Drosophila melanogaster: one gene and its partners. The gene in region 1 interacts genetically with each later gene. Each region holds a gene or a part of one and is shown in the gene's direction. Other genes may lie near its edges.

What was found.
Region 2: of Mmp1 (region 1) and Tb, changing one suppresses a phenotype caused by changing the other (phenotypic suppression), as found in Drosophila melanogaster (one study listed by BioGRID).
Region 3: of Mmp1 (region 1) and Sox21a, changing one suppresses a phenotype caused by changing the other (phenotypic suppression), as found in Drosophila melanogaster (one study listed by BioGRID).
Region 4: of Mmp1 (region 1) and Timp, changing one suppresses a phenotype caused by changing the other (phenotypic suppression), as found in Drosophila melanogaster (one study listed by BioGRID).

The regions. Positions count from the first base shown.
Region 1 is NT_033778.4:24,684,322-24,689,001, reverse strand, and holds the start of Mmp1 (matrix metalloproteinase 1), read left to right. Parts: upstream 1-1,624; 5' UTR 1,625-1,999; intron 2,000-3,911; exon of another isoform or gene 3,912-4,295; intron 4,296-4,680.
Region 2 is NT_033777.3:26,654,629-26,658,063, forward strand, and holds Tb (tubby), read left to right. Parts: upstream 1-1,811; 5' UTR 1,812-1,900; coding exon 1,901-1,915; intron 1,916-1,976; coding exon 1,977-2,813; 3' UTR 2,814-2,903; downstream 2,904-3,435.
Region 3 is NT_037436.4:14,102,932-14,109,653, reverse strand, and holds Sox21a (Sox21a), read left to right. Parts: upstream 1-1,535; 5' UTR 1,536-1,846; intron 1,847-2,495; 5' UTR 2,496-2,579; coding exon 2,580-3,112; intron 3,113-4,766; coding exon 4,767-5,400; coding exon of another isoform or gene 5,401-5,457; 3' UTR 5,458-6,173; downstream 6,174-6,722.
Region 4 is NT_033777.3:10,209,988-10,214,682, reverse strand, and holds the start of Timp (tissue inhibitor of metalloproteases), read left to right. Parts: upstream 1-1,675; 5' UTR 1,676-1,924; intron 1,925-4,695. UniProt on the Drosophila melanogaster protein: Metalloproteinase inhibitor that acts on both matrix metalloproteinases Mmp1 and Mmp2 in vitro. Complexes with metalloproteinases and irreversibly inactivates them by binding to their catalytic zinc cofactor.

The DNA.
Region 1 (4,680 bases):
CCCGGGAGCAGAGGAGTTGTATCTCTTCTCTTTAAAAGTAAATTAAAATATGTTAAAATACTAAGAATACTCAAGTAAAATCGATGATTGTCTTTTTGCTTGTTAGCAATGTAAGCAATCAAACAAAGACACCAGTAGAAGGATTTCTTTTGAGATACCCAAAAGGAGTGGCCCCATCAATCAGTGCGGTTAATCAAACAATCACTCAGACTTCCTGCTCGATTTGAATTGCTCTTTTGTATCTAAAATCCTTAGTTTATTCGCCTGTGCGACAGCCATATCAAAATATTTAATTGCAATACAAAAGAAGACATCACCCTCACTTCTCCCCGCGAATCTCCTGGTGGGGAGTCGGTGAGGAGGTGGCCGTTTGAGGAAGAAGCCAAGAGGACGGCATTCCAGCACGTTTGATTGCGTATAAATCAAAATATAAGAACAATATAAAGCGAAATTTAGCATCACAGCGACCGAAGTCGAAGCAGAGTGAATCGAAATGAATCAGCCTGTTCTGCAGCCGAAAAATCGGTGGAAGGCGACTCAATAACCTATGCCACATTGGTGCCACGTGCACCAATGCTCGGAACTCTCAGGATCGGTCTGACATGACTCATCCGCTCAAGAAGCCGGGATTGATGCGTAACTATCCCGTTATCGAAACGAAACGAGGAAGCTCCCCTAGCACTGCGAAAGGGGTGCTGACAGGGAAGGACGCGGGCATCAAGCCGAGCTGAATGACTGGCGTTTCGGATCTCGGAACGGAACGCTATCGGATCGCCTTGCTCCCGGCCATATAAAAGAATCTAAGCGGAGCGTCCCGAGTCTCAGTCTAGCGCACTAGCGAGCCTCAAAAACGCACTCGAACTTGCAGTTACGGCAGCTTGCTGCGGAAGGCAAATCTCCATAAGATATAGTATAGCTAAGCAAATTAGCGAGTGTTAAACAAATTAGTTTGTGCTTCCGCTGCGTGAAAAGCTTTCCACCCAGAGTGAAAAACCCAATTTAGACTGAGAGCGAGAGAAAGCTGCGCCCTCAGGTGAATCATCAGTGGATCTAACAGCTAGCCAAAAGCTTGCTAACTTCTGGCTTACAGTGCGTTAACAGTGAAGGTGAGTCCTAGCCGAACGAGCTTTACCCCAGCCCCATGTTGCTCGCCAGAAATAAGTGCTGGTTTTTTAAAAATGCACGCAATATCAAATAGGGTTTCATTAAGGGAATGTTATATTATGTTAAATAATATCCAATCGATCGCCATGGGTAGTACACAGTCTGCTAGTCTGGCTAGTTAAAGCCAACAGAGAGCTAGTTCCTTCCTAATCCTGTTGCTCCACAATCACATGCAAGGGACGAAGGAACAGGGGGCGACCAGCTATTTTCAACCACCAGAACTAGGATTCCACCTATGGACGACTGTGTGTGTGAGCGGTGGTGTGTCGGTGGTTATTCGCGTGACTCGTAAACTAGAAGCGAACACGGACAGACCCAGGTCTTAGCCATTAGACCCGCACACACTCGCAAGCCCCATGGAAATACAAAAGTAGGGGTGGCGAAGACGACGACGCGAACATTATTTTGCTGAAGGCGGAATGGCAGAGAGCTGGAACTGAAACAGCAACAGAAAAGCCAAACGAGTAGCAATCGGAACCCGCTGTGAATCGGTCGCTATCGCTTCTCGCGGAACAAGTAGTCTTAGCTTGGAAACTGGGAGCTGTGCTAGCCCCCTGGACATGAGTGTAGAGTGTGGATAGTGCCCTGCCGTAGCCAAATTCGCCCAAGTGATAGTGACTATATAGTGACTTTGCCCGCCTTATCTAACCACCAAGATCTAATCGCCATCGGTCGCAGATAAGCCCGATAAGTTCGAAACAGCCCTGTGAAGAAACTAAAGAAAACAAAAGTCGCTTTGTGCAATATTTGCTGAAGGAGCACGGGCACCGAGCTGATTATTTCACAAATTGGTTTATGCAAATTCTGTTTGCTCAATTCGTCTGTCTGCCGTATGGTAAGTTGATATACCAGGATGACTCATGTCCGCCAGGGAATTCCACTTTCTCGACGGGCATCAATGGGCCAAGAGCGATCTTTGCTCGGACTTCGCATTTGACATTGCGGGCGGATCACAGAGGCTGCCCAAACAGTCGGCACATAGGAGCTTTGTAACATTCCGATACATGAATACATATAATTATAGGCACATCAGATACTTCATACATACTATCGATGCCTGACCGTGACGTGATTGAGTTTAGAAATAGTTTTTCGCACTCAAAGTCAGAGCCGCGCACTCTATTCAAATAATATACAATACTATATTCATATGCAATTAGCATTATCTGCTCCATCTGTATGACAATTATATGTTCTGCTCGGCCAGTTGGCACAGTTCAAAGGCAAAAGTCAATGCGAAATCGCTTGATTCGAAGCGGCGTGGAAAAGTTAATTTCACTGCCGGCGCAGGCAACCAACCTTAGTGCCAGCGCACTGCATCGCATCGGGATGGGGCATGGACTAAAAATACTATAAATAGTTGTCTTTAAAGGCAGTAGAAACTCATAAATATTTCATTGTGCCGATGGCAGAGGAGCAGGGCAAAATGCATCGCACAGCAGGCGGCGACGACAAGTCAACTTGTCCACTGCCATAACAGAGGAATACATTCGTGTATATATGGAAAGAGACCACGGAGCCCTGAGCCCAGAGACCAGATCCCAAGCCCATGGCCCATGGCCCACAGCCCAGAGCAGATGGGCAAGCAAAGAGGGGCTGACAGCAAGCCAGATGCACTTGGTCCATGGATAAATGGCAGCAACAGCATCCGATTTGTCTCACAGCCCCCGCTTTGTTCTGCCAAGTTCTGTTCTGTCGCGTTGGATGTGCCAGCTCCATAAAGCGCATCAGGAACTGTCGTGAAAGCAGAATGTCGCCCATTATGTGGCTGTCGGATTCGCTTTTCGTTCTCCAGCTACATCCCAGCTGAACCTTTGGCTTGGGCTTGGGCTGCTAGCCAATTGCTCAGGCCGATTACTGGATTTGTTTGCGCTAGGTGGCAATTTGATTCACGTGGCCGCTGAGTCACCCCAAATTGCACTCAATTGATATTAATGGGGTGGTGCCGACGTAGGGCGAATATATTATCGATTCGCAGAAGAAGATACCCAGATGAATAGCTTATTAGCACGGGTCCGCGAGAGATGAGGTGCTAATCAGGCTGCTGTAAAGGCGAATGTGTTAATCTACACGATTTATGAAGGCAAATAGGCGTAGATGCACCGTTATCAAGCACAGCTAGTAATAGGCACTTATCCTATCTTTTTACACTTCTATATTCTTATTTTCGGTGAAACATACACTTTCCGATTATCACTCATGAAATTACGCATTACTCATACGCCCATTGAGAAACCGTTTGACCAGGGGAATCCAGACCGCAGATTCATTCATAAAATCTTTTCGGTTAGCGGCGAGGTGTGGCAGATCGGAAGTTCACTCGAATTCGTATGTGAATTTCAAGAAACCAGATCCGCTGAGTTGTAAGCGTTTGCCTAAGGGAAGCGGGGAGAGTAATGTGCTAAGCTTCGGATAAGCTGTAAAGTGCCACCGAGGGCGAGTGTTTCGGTGGCCGCAGCGGTTGCTGTTTGCTGGACCAGCGGCGTATGACACATGTGCGGGTGATTCCAAGAAGCGCATTACTCATACGCCTCCTCTCCAGCGGAAAGGGGTGCGGGGCGCGGAAGGAACAACTTCGATTATTGGCAACAGGTTTCGGCTGTCCCCCGCTACGAAATCTCCATCTCCATCTCCACAAGCAAGCATCGCCAGCGCCTCTGTTAGTCGCAAAAGCTTTCGGCTTCCCTCTTCGAAAGCTCCACTCACGATCGCCAGTCGTCGTCGTGCGGCAGCGAGCTCTGAAGATCAGTTGAATTTTGCGCGCAGCCCAGGGCGGATGTGTTTAGCGGCGAGAAACCGAAAAAGTCACCACGATAGAATAAGAATCGCAGTTGGAGTCTAGTGCTATATAAATAGTCGCGAAGAAAGTTATTCGAAAAGTGAATGAGTTCAGTTTTGGGTTTTGGTTTTTTGGTTTTGAGTTTTGGTTTCTAACGCGGAAACGAGCGGGAAAATGGAAGTGCCAGCGAGCAATTAGTGCAGCCAGACATAAAGACACACTCACAGCTCGAAAATACAGCAAAACAAAAGGATTGCGACTGTGAATTATAAAGTATAAATTATAAGCAACGACAACACATCCACAGCGGAATACGCAGCGACGACAGCGACAACAAACAAGAGAAAGAAATGTATGTGCCGAGAGCTAATTAATTAATTAATTAATCGTAAGTGTTGCAAGCGACATGCAGCAACAAAGGCAGCAGCGATAGTTCATTGATCTGCAATTGCATCCCACTGGCAGCCCAGCTAATTGAAAGGTCAACCAGAAGCGGGTCCGAGCCCATTAATCAGACCTAACCCATTGAGCACTCCGCTTTGGAGGTGAACTTGAACAGCACTGCGGATTGGGCTGTTTCGACACTGCTTGCCCAACCCGGCGTGTGATATGTGGCTATCACTAAGGTCAAGTTCTAGTAACACTTGGCCACTCATGCCCGAACTATGCATTTGGTAGCTCCCAACATAACTCCCGCCGATCGCCACCATATCTTATCGCCCTCGGGCCGTACTCAA
Region 2 (3,435 bases), on another chromosome or scaffold:
AAGTGTCTAACTTACGGCTTAAATGCGCGCGCGCACAAAAGAGCGCTGGAAAAAAAACAAGTTTAAAACTGGGTTAGCCAGCAACAGAACACTGACAAAAAAGTTCGCACAGTTTTCTCAATGCCAATCAAAATACAGACAATGAAGACGTTTTTTTTTAGCAATTTCGCCAACAAGATTATAGCTTTCTCCCATAAGCTGTTGCTTGCGCTTTTAGCCAAATTAAAATAATTTGTGCAGTGTATGTCGACAGGAAACTCCATTGGCACCGTTAGCTACCTTTCCTACCACCACCACCACAACTGACAACGGCAACTGTTATGCGTGTGAAATTATAACTGACAGCGGAGCTTCTTTTGTCGCCGCCGACTCATCCTGGCATGCGGTTCATTGAATAATTTATGCACTATAAAGTGGCAGCAGGCCCATTCCATTCCGCCGGATCCGGCGATTCCTTACTTTCAGGCCAAAAAACAGGGCCAAATGCCAGTGAGAGCGACAGGGAACGAGTTGTTTTGCATTTCAATGCAAATGCGAAAACTTCATTAAGTGCCCCTGGAACTATTTATATTAATTGCATGCGTGTCCTGCTGCCAAACAAATATTTCCACCTCAGCTGGCCAACTAATTAGAGGTCAAATCAAACGGAAAATTGTTCATTAAGGGAGCGACAGACGATCGCTCATCATTAAATCCACTCAATTAGGAAAAACAATTTGATAAATTTAGTTTAAATCAAATTATTACAAAAGCAGTTGGTAGCCTGTGGCTGCCACACATGTTGCACGCGACTGCCAGCTACCAACCGCTCGTAATTGGCTTAATTGGGCATTTATCGTCAATCACGGAGTTGCATGTTCATGTTTGGCTTGAAAAATGCATATTTCCGTAATTAGCTTGATTGCATTTCGATGGCAAGCGCCACAGGGCCAACAGACATTGGGGCTAAGTTCATTACCGGCGTAACAGTTTGACAGCCACTGCTGGCAGCCCTATAAGTATGCAACGAATGGCTCTAACCTTAAGTTCAATTGGGCAATCGATGAATGAATCAAGCATATCAAATTCCACTATGAATGCCATCATAAATGCCCAGTAATATGCAAATTGAAAACACAATAAAACAAATCCCTAAACCACACAAAAATGCCACAAGCGATATGGGGTTAATTTGCATAAATAGGTTTTTTGTCTGCGCCCCTTTTGTTTTTTGTTGCTAGTCAGTGTGTTTACGAAATCGAAATTATGTATCATAAACTAGATACGGTGGACAGTCGGCAGAGAGTCGCAGCTCGATTAGCGATTGATTTGTGATCCATCATAGCCAGTATTCACTGCCACGGTTTACCAATTTGCAATTGCCGGAAAGATATATTGACTGAATTAATTAATATTGAATTTGACCAATCATTCGCAGAATTCTGTGGACACTGTAATTGATTTATTTTCTTCCTTTTTTCGCCAGCTATATGGCTGTACTGCAATTAATTAAATACGACCAGCTATGCAAATCGCATGGCATTGCTCCACTTAAGTGGCCATAATTTCTGGTTTGGCCTACCAACATCCAGTTCCGTCGTGGTTTGTTTTTGCATTTCATTGCCAACGAAATTGGCAAACCGTTTTCGAATTTATGCAAACAAATGCTGGCGGATACAGTTTTGAGGGCTTTGCGTCACCTGCAACGGGTATTGGTATTTGTGCTGGATTAGCATCAATGGCATGGGCTACACCCGCTGTCTCATCACGAAAATCTGCATCTTATATTGGACCTGATTAGGGTCGGGCTATAAAAACGCCCCTCGACAAGATGGGCTGTAGCATTAACAGTTTACACCTCCCGGCGTGCCCAACACGTTAACAGATTGGATCGAATATTGGCTAGGATAGGGCTATCAATATGCGTGGATTTATTGTAAGTTTAAATGGTATTATTAGTTTGAAATAGTTGGATTAACCTGAGCTTTCTTTGCCAGATTTTTGCTGTCTTGGCTGTGGCTCGCGCTGATGTAGGCGGCTATAACTATGGAGCTGGCATTGGATCAGGCGGATCCATCTCGGGAGGCTCTCTGTCTGGAGGCTCCATCTCTGGAGGCTCGATCTCAGGTGGCTCCATCTCAGGTGGCTCCATCTCAGGTGGCTCCATTTCTGGTGGTTCCCTTTCTAGTGGTTCCCTGTCCGGGGGATCTTATTCCACTAACTACGCTCCTGTAAACACCGAATTTAACAAGGAGTTCTTCACCTACTCCGCTCCCGAGGCCGATTTTGAGGATAATAAGAGTGTCAGTGATCTGGCTGCTACTCTGAAGAAGAACCTCCGTGTGGTTTTCATCAGGGCCCCCGAGAATAAGGGTCTGGAGAACGCCGCTCTGGCCTTGGCCAAGCAGGCTGCCGAGCAGCAGACCGCCATCTATGTCCTGACCAAACAGGGTGATCTGTCCAGCCTGGCCAACCAGCTGCAGAACCTGAACCATGTGAGCGCCAGCAAGCCGGAGGTGCATTTCGTCAAGTACCGCACCCAGCAGGACGCCATCAATGCCCAGCGTACCATTCAGCAGGAGTACGAGCGTCTGGGTGGAGCCAGCACCTCCTACAACGGAGGCGTGGCACCAGTCCTGGACTTTGCCACCAAAGTGCAGCAACAGCAAGAGCAGCAGCAGCAACAGCAACAGCAGCAGGTGCAGCTGATTGATGAGCGTCGGCCTTCCAGCGGAAGTGTAAGCGCCGAACTGGAGGCTCCTTCGGCAGGATATATTCCACCACCAGCCGCAGCGCCTAGTGCCACGTACCTGCCTGTGAACAAGGTCAAGTAGGAAACCTGCAAGACCACATTCTTATTTACGAATTAGCTCACACATTCTCCTTTAAGTGCTACCGTATAAAATATAAACTTAACTTAATGTATGCCCGATATATTGTTGCTGTCGAGATTAATGCAGGAAGTCATTTCAGCGCCTTGTAGCCACTATCGGCCAGAGCCTGAGCAGCAATTAAAACTAAAAGCGCATTGGCATTGGAGGGTTTGGGTTTAAAAGGGGTTGTAAATTTAAGTGCATGCCCTCTGACACCGGATTCGTTGCCAGCGGTTTATGGCACGTCACCGACGACCAGTGTTGACCCGTCCTAAAGTACTACCACCATACACGCGATCAGGGCCAACTGGTCTGGGCTAATTACCGCCGCACAGAGCCAATTTCTGGCGCTTCATGACCGCGACCAGTCGCGACATTTAATGGGTGCCCTTTTGAGGGTCAAGTCGGTGGCAATTTGGTCCTGCCACTGTTGCAGCCAAAGAAACCCACACTGAGAATTAAATGAAAATTACTAGCTACATTTTGGAGCGCACTCCTTTGTTGACCGTCGTGAAATTTCAGCTAGCAAGCAAAGAAAACCACAAAACTTCTAAACCAGAAAGCTTTGCTTTGTTTTCTGTTA
Region 3 (6,722 bases), on another chromosome or scaffold:
ATTCATTTATCTTTAAAATGTTGTTTTTGTTACTTTCTAGGTCAAATTAATTTGAAGATTTAGTATATACTGTGGAAATGTTGCTAATAGTCCCAATAATCGTTAAATATTATTGCAAAAGCATATTTAATTAAAATTAATTGTGATCGGGAAATTATTGTTCCGGATGTACTATACCTAGCATATTACACACTTTTCTATTGACATTACACTGTAAACACCGGGAAAATTGTCTAATTTCTTAGTATTCGTCAAGGGAGAAGCTCCGTTGGCGGAACATTGAAACCGTCAATTATAAAGAGCGGCATTTATAAGAAATTTTAGCAAATGTATAAAGGTGGTACTATTAAGGGATCAAGGGCTTCTAATCGTTGCAATTATACAGAAATCGTTATTGGTACAGCAACAACAAGAATTGAGAATTTCCTGTGTGTGACAAACAAGGAGAGCAATTGAAATAAGCGGCCCAACCCTGCCAACAAAAAGGGCCAATCTTGCGGATACCGAAGCTTGCAGCAAACATACCAAATAAGCCACCGATCGATTGTGAGAGCAAACACCGGTCTAATACACAGTAAGAAATTATAGTGCCATAACCATATAGTGTAGACCATGCATATAAGTAAGTATCCAATATTTGGTTAATTGTAGTATAAGATTCAAAAGCTAAAGTGTATTTTTCATTCGATTGATTGTTGCCACTCCGTTTTGTATTCCATTTAAATAAACTAATCAAGGCATTTTTTTGACATCTTAAAAATGGGTTCTCATTCCATAGTTAAGAAGAGCTATAAAGTAGTTTAACTATGCCTTTTATTTGGATCACAAATGCATAGAAGAAAAACAGAACTGAATAATAAAGTGTTTTATAAACGTACCAATTTATGATTTAATATTTTGTAAATAAATATAGCAGCGAAATTCTCAGAACTAGCCGGAATTTTCTTGAATTTTTCAAAGAAAACTATTTATATTTACAATAAAAATTGATATTGGTAGCTTAATATGAAATATGTTATTGGGCTATTCAAATTTTCAAAATTATTTTTGTGTTACGGTTTTGATAAAAAATGCAGATATCATCAACTGGCGAAGAGCAAAAGGAGCAATGTTTGGTAAACAAGAATGCAAACGTGCACACAAAACGAAAACAAACCCGGAGACTATTGTCAATAAGATACAAAACGCAGATACAAAGATACAAAGCAGCAGCAGCGAATTTTTATCACTTAGCCGCCACGTTGACGCGTCCTCCGAAGGTGTAAAAAACTCTACAAAATGTGCGCGCTCTCTCTCTCTCTCTCTCTCTCTTACTTGCGCGACCCTTCTCCCTTGCACTATCTCTCGCCTTGTCTCGCTCCCACTCGGTCCTTTTGGGCGGCAGCGACGCAGCAGCGACCAACCACTACAGAGACACCCTCATACTTACAAACACCCACGTTCTTCCTCTTGCCCCTTTTTGTTGCGTTTGTTTGCCGTTTTTGTCGCAAGTTTTCGAATGTGTTTTCAAATCTAAATTGTCGCGCACTCGAAACGGACGCGCTGCGCTCGGCTAACGGTGAATCGGCAGTCTAACGGTTTAAATACTTTCAACGTTCGTAAATTCGAGGCTCTATAAATCTCGAACTGTTTGGAAAATAAGTTAAAAATTCATATCAGTGCACTTGTGTATTTTTAGGAGTTCTAATGGCGATCAACAATAATTAACCTAGTAATATTAATAAACAAAAAGAACTCGATCGCAACGTAAACTCTTGTGCAATTAATTAGATAGTTAAGTGTCACGCATCGGATGGAATCCAAATTTAAACTTTATTAGGGAGAAATTAAAAGACAATTAATACAGGTAAGCTAATTATGATGATGAGAAAAGGTCCCTAGGTAAACAATTCGAATATTTAAATATGAAATGAAGAAAAAGCTGTGCTCTAAATTAAACTATTGCACACTCCTCCCCAAAAACTAAACACTTTAAAAAAGCGAAATAAGCGAACAAATATATTTTCTTAAAAAAGAAACCAAAAGATTTATAAGGATATGAAATATATAATGAATTTTATGAATATTTGCAATTTTCAATGTTAGAAAAGCCTGTTTTAAAAAATATATCATTTTCCAATCCAATCTTTAATTAATTCATCATTTGAAATCGAATTTGGCAGTACTGTTAATATGCAAATATACGTTCTTCAAGGAATATATTTTGGATAATATTAATTTAAGGGAAATCCCCAATTTTGCAAATACTCAATACTGAAAACTGATTTGAATTACTGGTAAATATTTAAATTGGTTTGTCATAAAACCGGGACACCATTTTGAGCCCCCTGTACACACACATTAGAAGGGGTAAATGGAGTTCCATTGTGCATATTTTTGGTAAGCTATTCGCAGTGCGAAGAGCTCCAATCAAATGACTCATGCAGGGAGCAGCAGACAGAGTCCCCAAGCTAACAAGGCATATCTATTGAATACCATTTCCGTTGGCATTTCAGAGCTCGAGGAGCAGCTGCAGCACTACCACCTGATAATTACCACCTGCACCCCCATTGGAGTCCCTTGACTCCGCGCCCGGCATCATGACGAGCATCTCGGCCCTGCTCCATCGGAGCCACAGCCACAGCAATGGTTACACGAGCAGCGGGAGTAGCAATCACAGCCATAGCAGCAGTCTCTCACCGCAGTTGCCCGGCATCAATTTGGGTTTGGGCATGGTCGGTGGCTTGGGCATGGGTATGAGTGTGGGAGTAGGCTCTGGATCGGGAAACACCACCCCACCACCGATGCCGCCAGCTGACCTCGCCGTTCCGCCAGCGGCCCCCACTCCGGTGGCACCCAAAATGCACCAGCACACGCACCACCATGGCAACTCCCACCATAATGCCCCGACCAGCCACTCGAATTCGAATACTGGAAGCCATCACAACAGCCACGACCACATTAAGCGACCAATGAACGCTTTCATGGTCTGGTCGCGGGGGCAGCGTCGCAAAATGGCCCAGGACAATCCAAAAATGCACAATTCTGAAATATCAAAACGCCTGGGCGCCGAGTGGAAATTACTCACCGAAGGACAGAAGCGTCCATTCATCGACGAGGCAAAACGATTGCGGTAAGTATTGTTCACTGGGGTCTGGTTAAAAAGCACTGAGAAAATATGTATGTACTAAATTTGTAAACAGAAATAAGAGTATTTTCTTACCTGGAAAAGTCCTTACCTTTCAATTCAAAAGTTAATTTTCCAAGTCTATTATTAATAGGGTTTATTAGGGCGAAGTTATATTTAAAAAAAATAAAAAGATATGGATCCCATTGATGTTAAAAATCACAGATTATCATATTGCAGTAATCCTATATTAATTTAAACTAGGAAAAACATAGTTCTTGTATTTTTTGTAGTTACCTCCGCTTTCTATTCTTGGATATAAGAATTACTTTGTTTATTCAATTTTATTCAGTCCACACGATATACATTTTTTTTCTGTGCCGGCTTATGCAGGAGCAGAGTGGTGTAGGTTGGATGGGAAATTCTGGCTTGGTTTCGGTTACCATTTTCCCAGTTGGTAGCTCATTCTCACTAGATGCCGTCTGGCCACAAAATTTGATCGATTAGCTAAGACAAAGGCTACCTATTGTGAGGAGCTCCTGCTGAATTGCGGAGCTCTGGAGTCGGGGATTGTGTCCGCTCTGCTTAGTCAGAATTTCATTGGCACTGCCATATCTTGGGTAAACATTTCAATTGAAGTTGTCACACAAAAGCGAGGCAACACGTCGCATGAAATGCTCCATTCATTTTGCATTTTGCTTCTTTTTGTGTGCTTAACCCATTCAGTGTACCCTTTCGAAAGGGTTTGAGTAATTTCAGTTTGAGCTTAGTTTTAATAAACGTAATTATCGGGATTAACTGAAAATACCGCTAGAATGGAGTTCTTTGTACAAGAAATATACTCAAAAGCGAGCATTTTACAAATAAGTACAAAAGTGATATCTCACATTATTTTATTTTTTATAAAACTAGCTTTTAAATAAGTTGTATTGGTATAAATGGAATCAAAATTTGCAGTGCACTTTTAAACCACAGGAATTCCCAGAAATGCCGTATCTCACAAGTTCGTTTTTTCTATGCCTTCCTAGATAGTGCGGTCTTTTATGATGACGAACCTCTGTGTTTGCACTGTCATAATCCTTTTATTGATTGGATTGGCCTGCCAAAATGGAAATGTTAAATTTTACTTACATTTTATGACATTTATAAATGATCAGGGCTCGTCAGAAGGGGCTTAAACTAATGGCCATTCGGGGTTTTCGAGCGAGCATATCGAATGAAAAGAACCAAAAATTCTGATCAAATATTTGCCAATGCGCGATGATAAGGAAAACAATATTTTTTTTCGGGACCCGCGATAAGGAGGCCATAACTGACCAAAGAAAGGAAAACAAAATAAAGAAAAGCGAAAGTAAAACAAGAGGAGGCGACCCAAACACACCTTTTATCAGGTTTTATCGTTATGTCAAACAAATGTCAACAATTGCGCATTGTTGCAGCTGGGAAATCGGAAAGAGAATCGAAGTTGGAATCGGAGTGCTGGTTCTTCGCTAAATACACAATATAAACTTGTGCATTTTGTATCTGCCTGGCGTGGGGTTTATGGAAGGGTTCCGCTTCTCTTGGGGTTTACGACCAGAGATGGCTGACTTTATGATATCATCAAAGCTTAAATCGTTCGATCTTTTGATCAGTGTTTCAACATTTATTTAATTTACAGGGCTCTGCACATGAAAGAACATCCCGACTACAAGTATCGACCACGTCGCAAGCCCAAGACGCTCAACAAGTCACCGGTGCCAGGTGGTGGTGGTGGCGGCGGTGGAGGTGGTGCCAACGGTGGTGTCAACGCTGGTGGTGCGGGTAACTCCGGTCCCAGTGGCCCAGGATCAGTTGGCTCCCCCAAGGATATGCAGCCCCAGTTGTCGCCCTTGGGTCAGTCGCTGCCACATCTCCACGGACATCCGCACCAGTCACCATATCAATCGCATCCACACCACCCGCATCCTCATCCACATCATGTCCAGCTGGCCGCCGCCACCTTGAGCGCCAAGTACGGTTTTGGTTCGCCACTGGAGTTATCGCTGCCCCGCCTGCCGAATGCCTTTCCCGGCCTCGCCCACTATCCACTGGATCCCACGTTGGCCCTGGACCTACAGGCGCGCCTCCAGGCGATGTACGCCGGCTCCATCTACCACCCGTGGCGATATCTGCCGCTGATAAGTCCGGAAACTCCACCCTCCCCGCCCAGCAGCAGCGGTACCGGCATCTCATCCTACGGATGCGTCAAGTCAGAGAAGTCCTCACCAAATGCGGTAGTGGCCAGCGCGGCCAGTCCGCCAAACATCATTTGACCGACTCCATTGCGCTTCGGCGCCGGCACCTCCTCATCCGCGGAACACGTGGTCTAGGATGAGCACCACAGAGGGAATTTGGATGGTAAACTTTACCATTCCTCTCCAAAAGTTAAAAGTCCTAATGTTAGAGCCTAGTGTTAGACGAATATTAATGCACGTCTTTAGTTGCTACTATAATTATGTTTTTGGTTCTGATTTAGTGCTGCTTCACTATTTTAGATGATTAATTTTAAAACTACATTCAAAATCTCAATTTACTGACATTTTTTGACAAATAATGAAGTTAAGTCCGGCCTCGAAAAGCAATAGACATTTTAAATCAAAGAAATTTTAAAAAATCTTAGCTAAGAAATAACACTTAGTAGTCTCTTATAATTTATATATATATATTTTATATATATTTTTTGACATTTTATTAAAATTCACAACATCATTTGAATTCGTACATATTACTTAAACTGCACTTAATATTTTTATTGATATGTTGTTATATGAATAACTCAATTCTTTCGATAAATCTTTGAATTAATCAGCTTTGAATCAGCTTAAAACACATTTTAAATGGTTTTATTCATACCTAATTTAAGGATTTCACAATCTTTGTTATCAATTTCTGGAACCCAAACAAATGGCTTATTAGATCTAAAGTACATTAGATTTGTTAAGGCATCGAGAACATGTCCACTTTTATGTAATATATGATTGTAAAACTATACTTTAATGTGATAAATGAAAGAGCAGAAATCGAATTAAAAATAGTGTGAAATTCCACGATTTTTAAACAGTGTACTTGAATAAAGCATGGCATTGGGATTTATGGCAAAATTGTAACAATAGTTTTAGGATTGAAGAACCCTATAGAGACCTGGTTTGCATGTGAGTGAAAATCATAGCTTGCAATCTGTAAGGAGTCACCGCCAAACGCCACAGGCTTCTGTGAATATAACGACAATGTTTGCTGATGCGTTGATTATTAGTTTAAATTGCCGACACGCCGCGGGGATGAATGGATGACGATGGCCAGGATTGTCTGCCGTTTCGGAAGGGTGGCGATCGTCCTTAATGGGATTCCTTCACGCCCACTTGTTTAAGCGGCCAACTGTGAAGCGCTCACCGTCGAGGCGTGTCAATAACTCTCGGCCCAAAAACAATTGGCACTTTTTTGTCTGAGGCACTGCACAAAACAAAGCAGCAACCACCACTATTATTGGACTTTTCTCTGGGTGGGTTGGGTGGAATATAGACAGCTTGGCGGTACAGGGCAATCGCGACAGCATCGTAACCAGCTGAAAAGCCGCCCATAAAAGTCGCACAAATGC
Region 4 (4,695 bases), on another chromosome or scaffold:
TATATATTTAAAACACTTTCTTCTTGTGTTGGGAATAAAGACACCGAGGCAATCACAATATGTTTTTCACTGTCTGATTGAAATTCTATAAATTACAATATACCGATGAGCTCTTTACTTCCATTTTTTCTCATTTTATTTTCTGCGGAAATCAAGGGGCGATGCTTATTAATCCATTGGATAAGTGCCAAATTCATTGGTTGTTTTTGCCCTCATTCCGATCACGAATCTGGCCATGGAAATTTTCTTTTGATTTGCCAGACGAATTCCAAGAATCCTCGATCATTAGTCAGGCAGGAACATTTCATGAAAATACCTTATAGTTATTAATGGCGCATGCAAATCACTATTAAATATGCAACAGCAACAATGCCCAGCCCTCAAATATTTGACTAATTCGCATTTTATTAATTTTACATCGTTGCTCATGGTTATTACATTTATATATGCAAATCGCCAACCGATTACCCTTGTTAATCATCTCTCCCAGACCCAAAGCCATATTTAAACAGTTGATAAATCACAAGTAAACACATGGGCTTAATTTTGTGTTGCATTGGCAGAGAATGAATAAATCAAAATAAAACCAAATGGAAAACCATAACAACCATGACGCAGCTCGAAGAATTGTCGCAATTGCCGCCGATGAAAGACCGTCCTGTTGACAGAAAGCCCCAAACAAACAGAGTGCGAGAAATCTCTCAATGAACATAAATATATATAGGTATCTGAGATGTATCTGGACCGAGAATAAGAGTGACTATCAGAATGAGACGTCACACCCCCACATAGCCAGCATTCTTGGAAGCTGCTACGTGTTCCGCCTGAGTACCCACCGTCTAGGGAACTGCATCTCGGTTATATCAGCGGACTTAAAATATGCACTGTGACGCATTCGTAGTGCCCTGAAGCGGGTTCATCGATTGACAGTGGTGTCTGGTGTATAAGTGCACAGGAAGAAAACGATTTAAATAAGTTTCAACATTGGCACAGACCACTATACTGATCACAATTGTAAAACCCTATTATATTAAATCTTATAATTTTGTAATATTATTATAATATTCTTAAGCCATCAGTAGTGCAACGTTAAGTATCCCCAACCGTTTCTCGCCGTGTAGATCTGTAGTGCGGTGGCGTTACCGGGTCGGGTATGCAGATTATGGCAACGTGCTGTAGGTGGAGCATGGAGTATGATATGAAGCATGACCGGAGCAACAGCACGTGTGTGCGCCACATGGTCAGAGGAAGAGGAAGTTGGATCTCTGGCGAGTTTACGACTGGGCATAGCTGAATTATTAGTTGATTTGCGGCCTGACAGATGCGCTATTCTCTGCCGTTTCGTGTGGCGATCTCTTTTTGGCCATGGCGCCAAGTAACTACAACTATGCATATTGTATGCTATTATATGGCCGAGAGCATAAACCAGGCCCCTGCACGCAATTAATAAAGCTGCCAAGGTAACAAAATAAACGCAAAGAAAAATGCAATCGACTCTCCTCCACTTTCCACTCATTTGGGGCGAATTTATGGCGCTTTTGATCGCCCGACTGCCGCAAGAAACACTCAAGTTATAAAGACACGAGTGGATTCGACTCAAACGATCGATCGATCCGATCTCTCACTTCCCGAACAACTTGAGTGAAGAAAACAGTCGAATCGGTTGACTTGACGATCCAGTGCAGAACCGCAAGCGCAGCGAGCTAGAACGCCACAAAATCGGCGACGGAAAAATCGCGACATCGTACGAGATATATAGTACCAAGTAGTATAAAGTGCTGACGAGTCGAATCGAGTGCGAGTGCGAGTGCGAGTGCCGGTGAAAATACATTCAATTGTTTTTCCCGATTTTTGTGCCCTCGGGTTCAAGTGTTTAAAAGCCTGAAGTGCTAGTTTTACACACAAAATAGGTTGCAGCTTAAAGGTAACAAACTAGGCTTATTTTGCTAATTTTTGGTAATTTAAGAATTGAGTACTTGAATGCTTAATTGTGTTAATTTATTTTAAAAATTTCCGCATTGCCAAGTGTTGTGTCAGAAGTTAAATAGCCGGAATAAAATGGTTTGCTTATTTTTCCGCAAACAGAATTTTCATATATGTTTGAAAGGCAAAAAAAAGTTTCAGCTCAAAGAGCAGATTCAAAATAGCTTTTGTGGAGTTTTTAGCTAGAAATATTTTAAAATTAATTTTCTCTTATCAATTGATTTTTAAACTTTTCTCTTCTTTGATGCATTTTCCCCTGAGGTGCAAATTTCCACCTCAAAAACAAGTTGCAACTCAAAAGCCAAAGTACACAGCCATGTTTGTTTTTATTTTATTTTAGTTTTAGTTTTAGAGTTGTTTGGCATTTAGAAGATTGAAATTGAAATTGAAGGTATGCAAAACGCGCGACACAGACGCGTTGTGTATTTTATTTTGGGGCTATTTAAAACGCGCAGTGGGAAATGTGCCGACGTGACACAGCGACACAGTTTTCCAACGAAACGCTCATTTCTATTTATTGGCGTTTATTTATAATTTGTTTTTATTTGCCTAGCTGTGCATCTGCCTTCCCTGATCTTTTGGAGCGCCCCGAGTTTTCTTCTGGCCTTTCGAATTGTCTTAATAGTTTTTATTGTCGCCAATTTGTAAACAAACTGCAGGCCATTAAGAAATATACAACTAGTTTGCTTGTGCAATCCAGTCTGATCGTAAAGCCCATTTGAATCTGTGATGTACAAGTAACAATTTTGTTGGATGTCAAGGAAAGCGAAACGGTTGTGTGCGCCAGAGGTATTTCCATATTACGCATACGTCATGTGTGTTTTGGCATTGGCCATTTAGTGTCTAAAAATAAAGAAAAACATTTAATGCTTCTCGACTCTCACAAAAAAAAAAAAAACACCAATAAAATGTACAAGCACATCACAAGGGAGGGGAGTAAAGACTTCTCCAGGGAAATGCATTTCAAGTGGGTTTTCCCCTTTCTTTTCCATTGAGTTTTCTTTTGACAACTCGCATTGTTTCGCATGGATATTCATAATTTCGTTTTCCTTCATTTGACTTTGGATTCACTGTTGGCTTTTCGTTTTGTTTGTGCGCCATTTAAATGAGCTTGTATTTCGTATTGGCTTTTCAGCTTTTCTGGGATATTATATACTACGTTGACTTTTATTTTCTTTTTTTTTGCCATCAGATAACACTTATTATCGAATGGAATTTAAATTTCTAAAGTCTGCTAATTTTTGAATTGAATGCATTGTTTGCTTTTCTTACGACACATATTGCCATATGGCACCTTAACATTATCTTAACCGCAATTGCTTATTGAGGGAGAGAAAATCCGGTTAGTAGGCTACACTGAAATAAAAAAAAAATGTGTCCTAAAGATACTAGAGTGTTTGTACTCATCATGGTCAGATAAATTACCTTGAATAATAAAACTAGAACCATTTAAAACGTATATTAAACATTTCACATGATAATAATCATTGTAAATTGATATGTTTCTTTATTATGAATATCAGGCCTATTTCAGCGACTCCGAGAACGACGATCAATATAATGTAATGTAAGATTACGCATTGTATCCAATTCGCAAACAATAAAAAACCACAAAAGCTGGGCAAATAAAATTGTCATAATCGATGATTGTGAATGTGGCTTTTCCCTCGCACATCATTCAATTTGCCATATTTGGCGAATGCTTTTAAATCCCCAAAAAAGTCCGAAAGCCATATACGGTTGGCGATACAGATACGAAAACATTGGATCTGGATTGTTTATGCCGACACACCCACATTCTGCTCATCCCATTGCCTTTAATAAATTTTCTTGTGCAAATCTTGCAATTAAATATTATTGTACAAATAAGACAGCGCGACAAAGAGACTTTGGTTTGGTATTTTGGTCTTTCGCCACCATTAATAATTTCTGCCTCCCCCATGAATGTGCGTAAATTTCACAGGTCTGGCAGCAATTTATCGACAATGAATTTGTTTTTTTGGGAACCCGGAGCTCCTCCATTTGTGTGTGGGCCATGGGCCGTCAATTTGTCAGCTTCCCTGCTGCGTTTCTGCTCCTTTTATCTCAATGTCCCTCAATGTCTTTAACAAGAGCTGTCAACCGGGTCTTAAATGGAGCCTTGTTGGGCTGAGATAAATCACCCAAGTTGACGAAAACCGATTCGGTATTGTCACAGAAAATCACTTGAATATTTAATTGAACTGCCAGCCGGGTTATTTGTGCAGAGTTTATTGATTTTTATGCAAATTCCAGCAATTTGATAACTAAATGCAAGACCACACAGTGCGCACCATTGTATTTCCGAGCCAGAACCCACATTATACATAATATTGTATTTTCCGGCATATGCATATGTTTACTTTGCGGTCTTATATATATGCACATGCTATATGGGTTTCGCTCATTAAAGATTTATATTTTTATGGTCCGGCCAATGCAATGTGAGTCCAGGCCCCAGACCTTCGGGTCTCCGATTTTGTAGGAACCCTTCCCCCCCCCCCCTTCACCTACCATCCTCTTCAGATACATTAGCATTTTTAATTGAATTTTCGTTACGCATCCTGGGTGAAATGTTTGTTGATTTTGCCACGCCGCCAGACAATTTGTGTTATAAGTTGAGAAATTTGTGGCGTTACTGTTTCGCTCTTTAATTTCGCGTCTCAAAATGAAATCCCCAAAAAAAAAACGTGA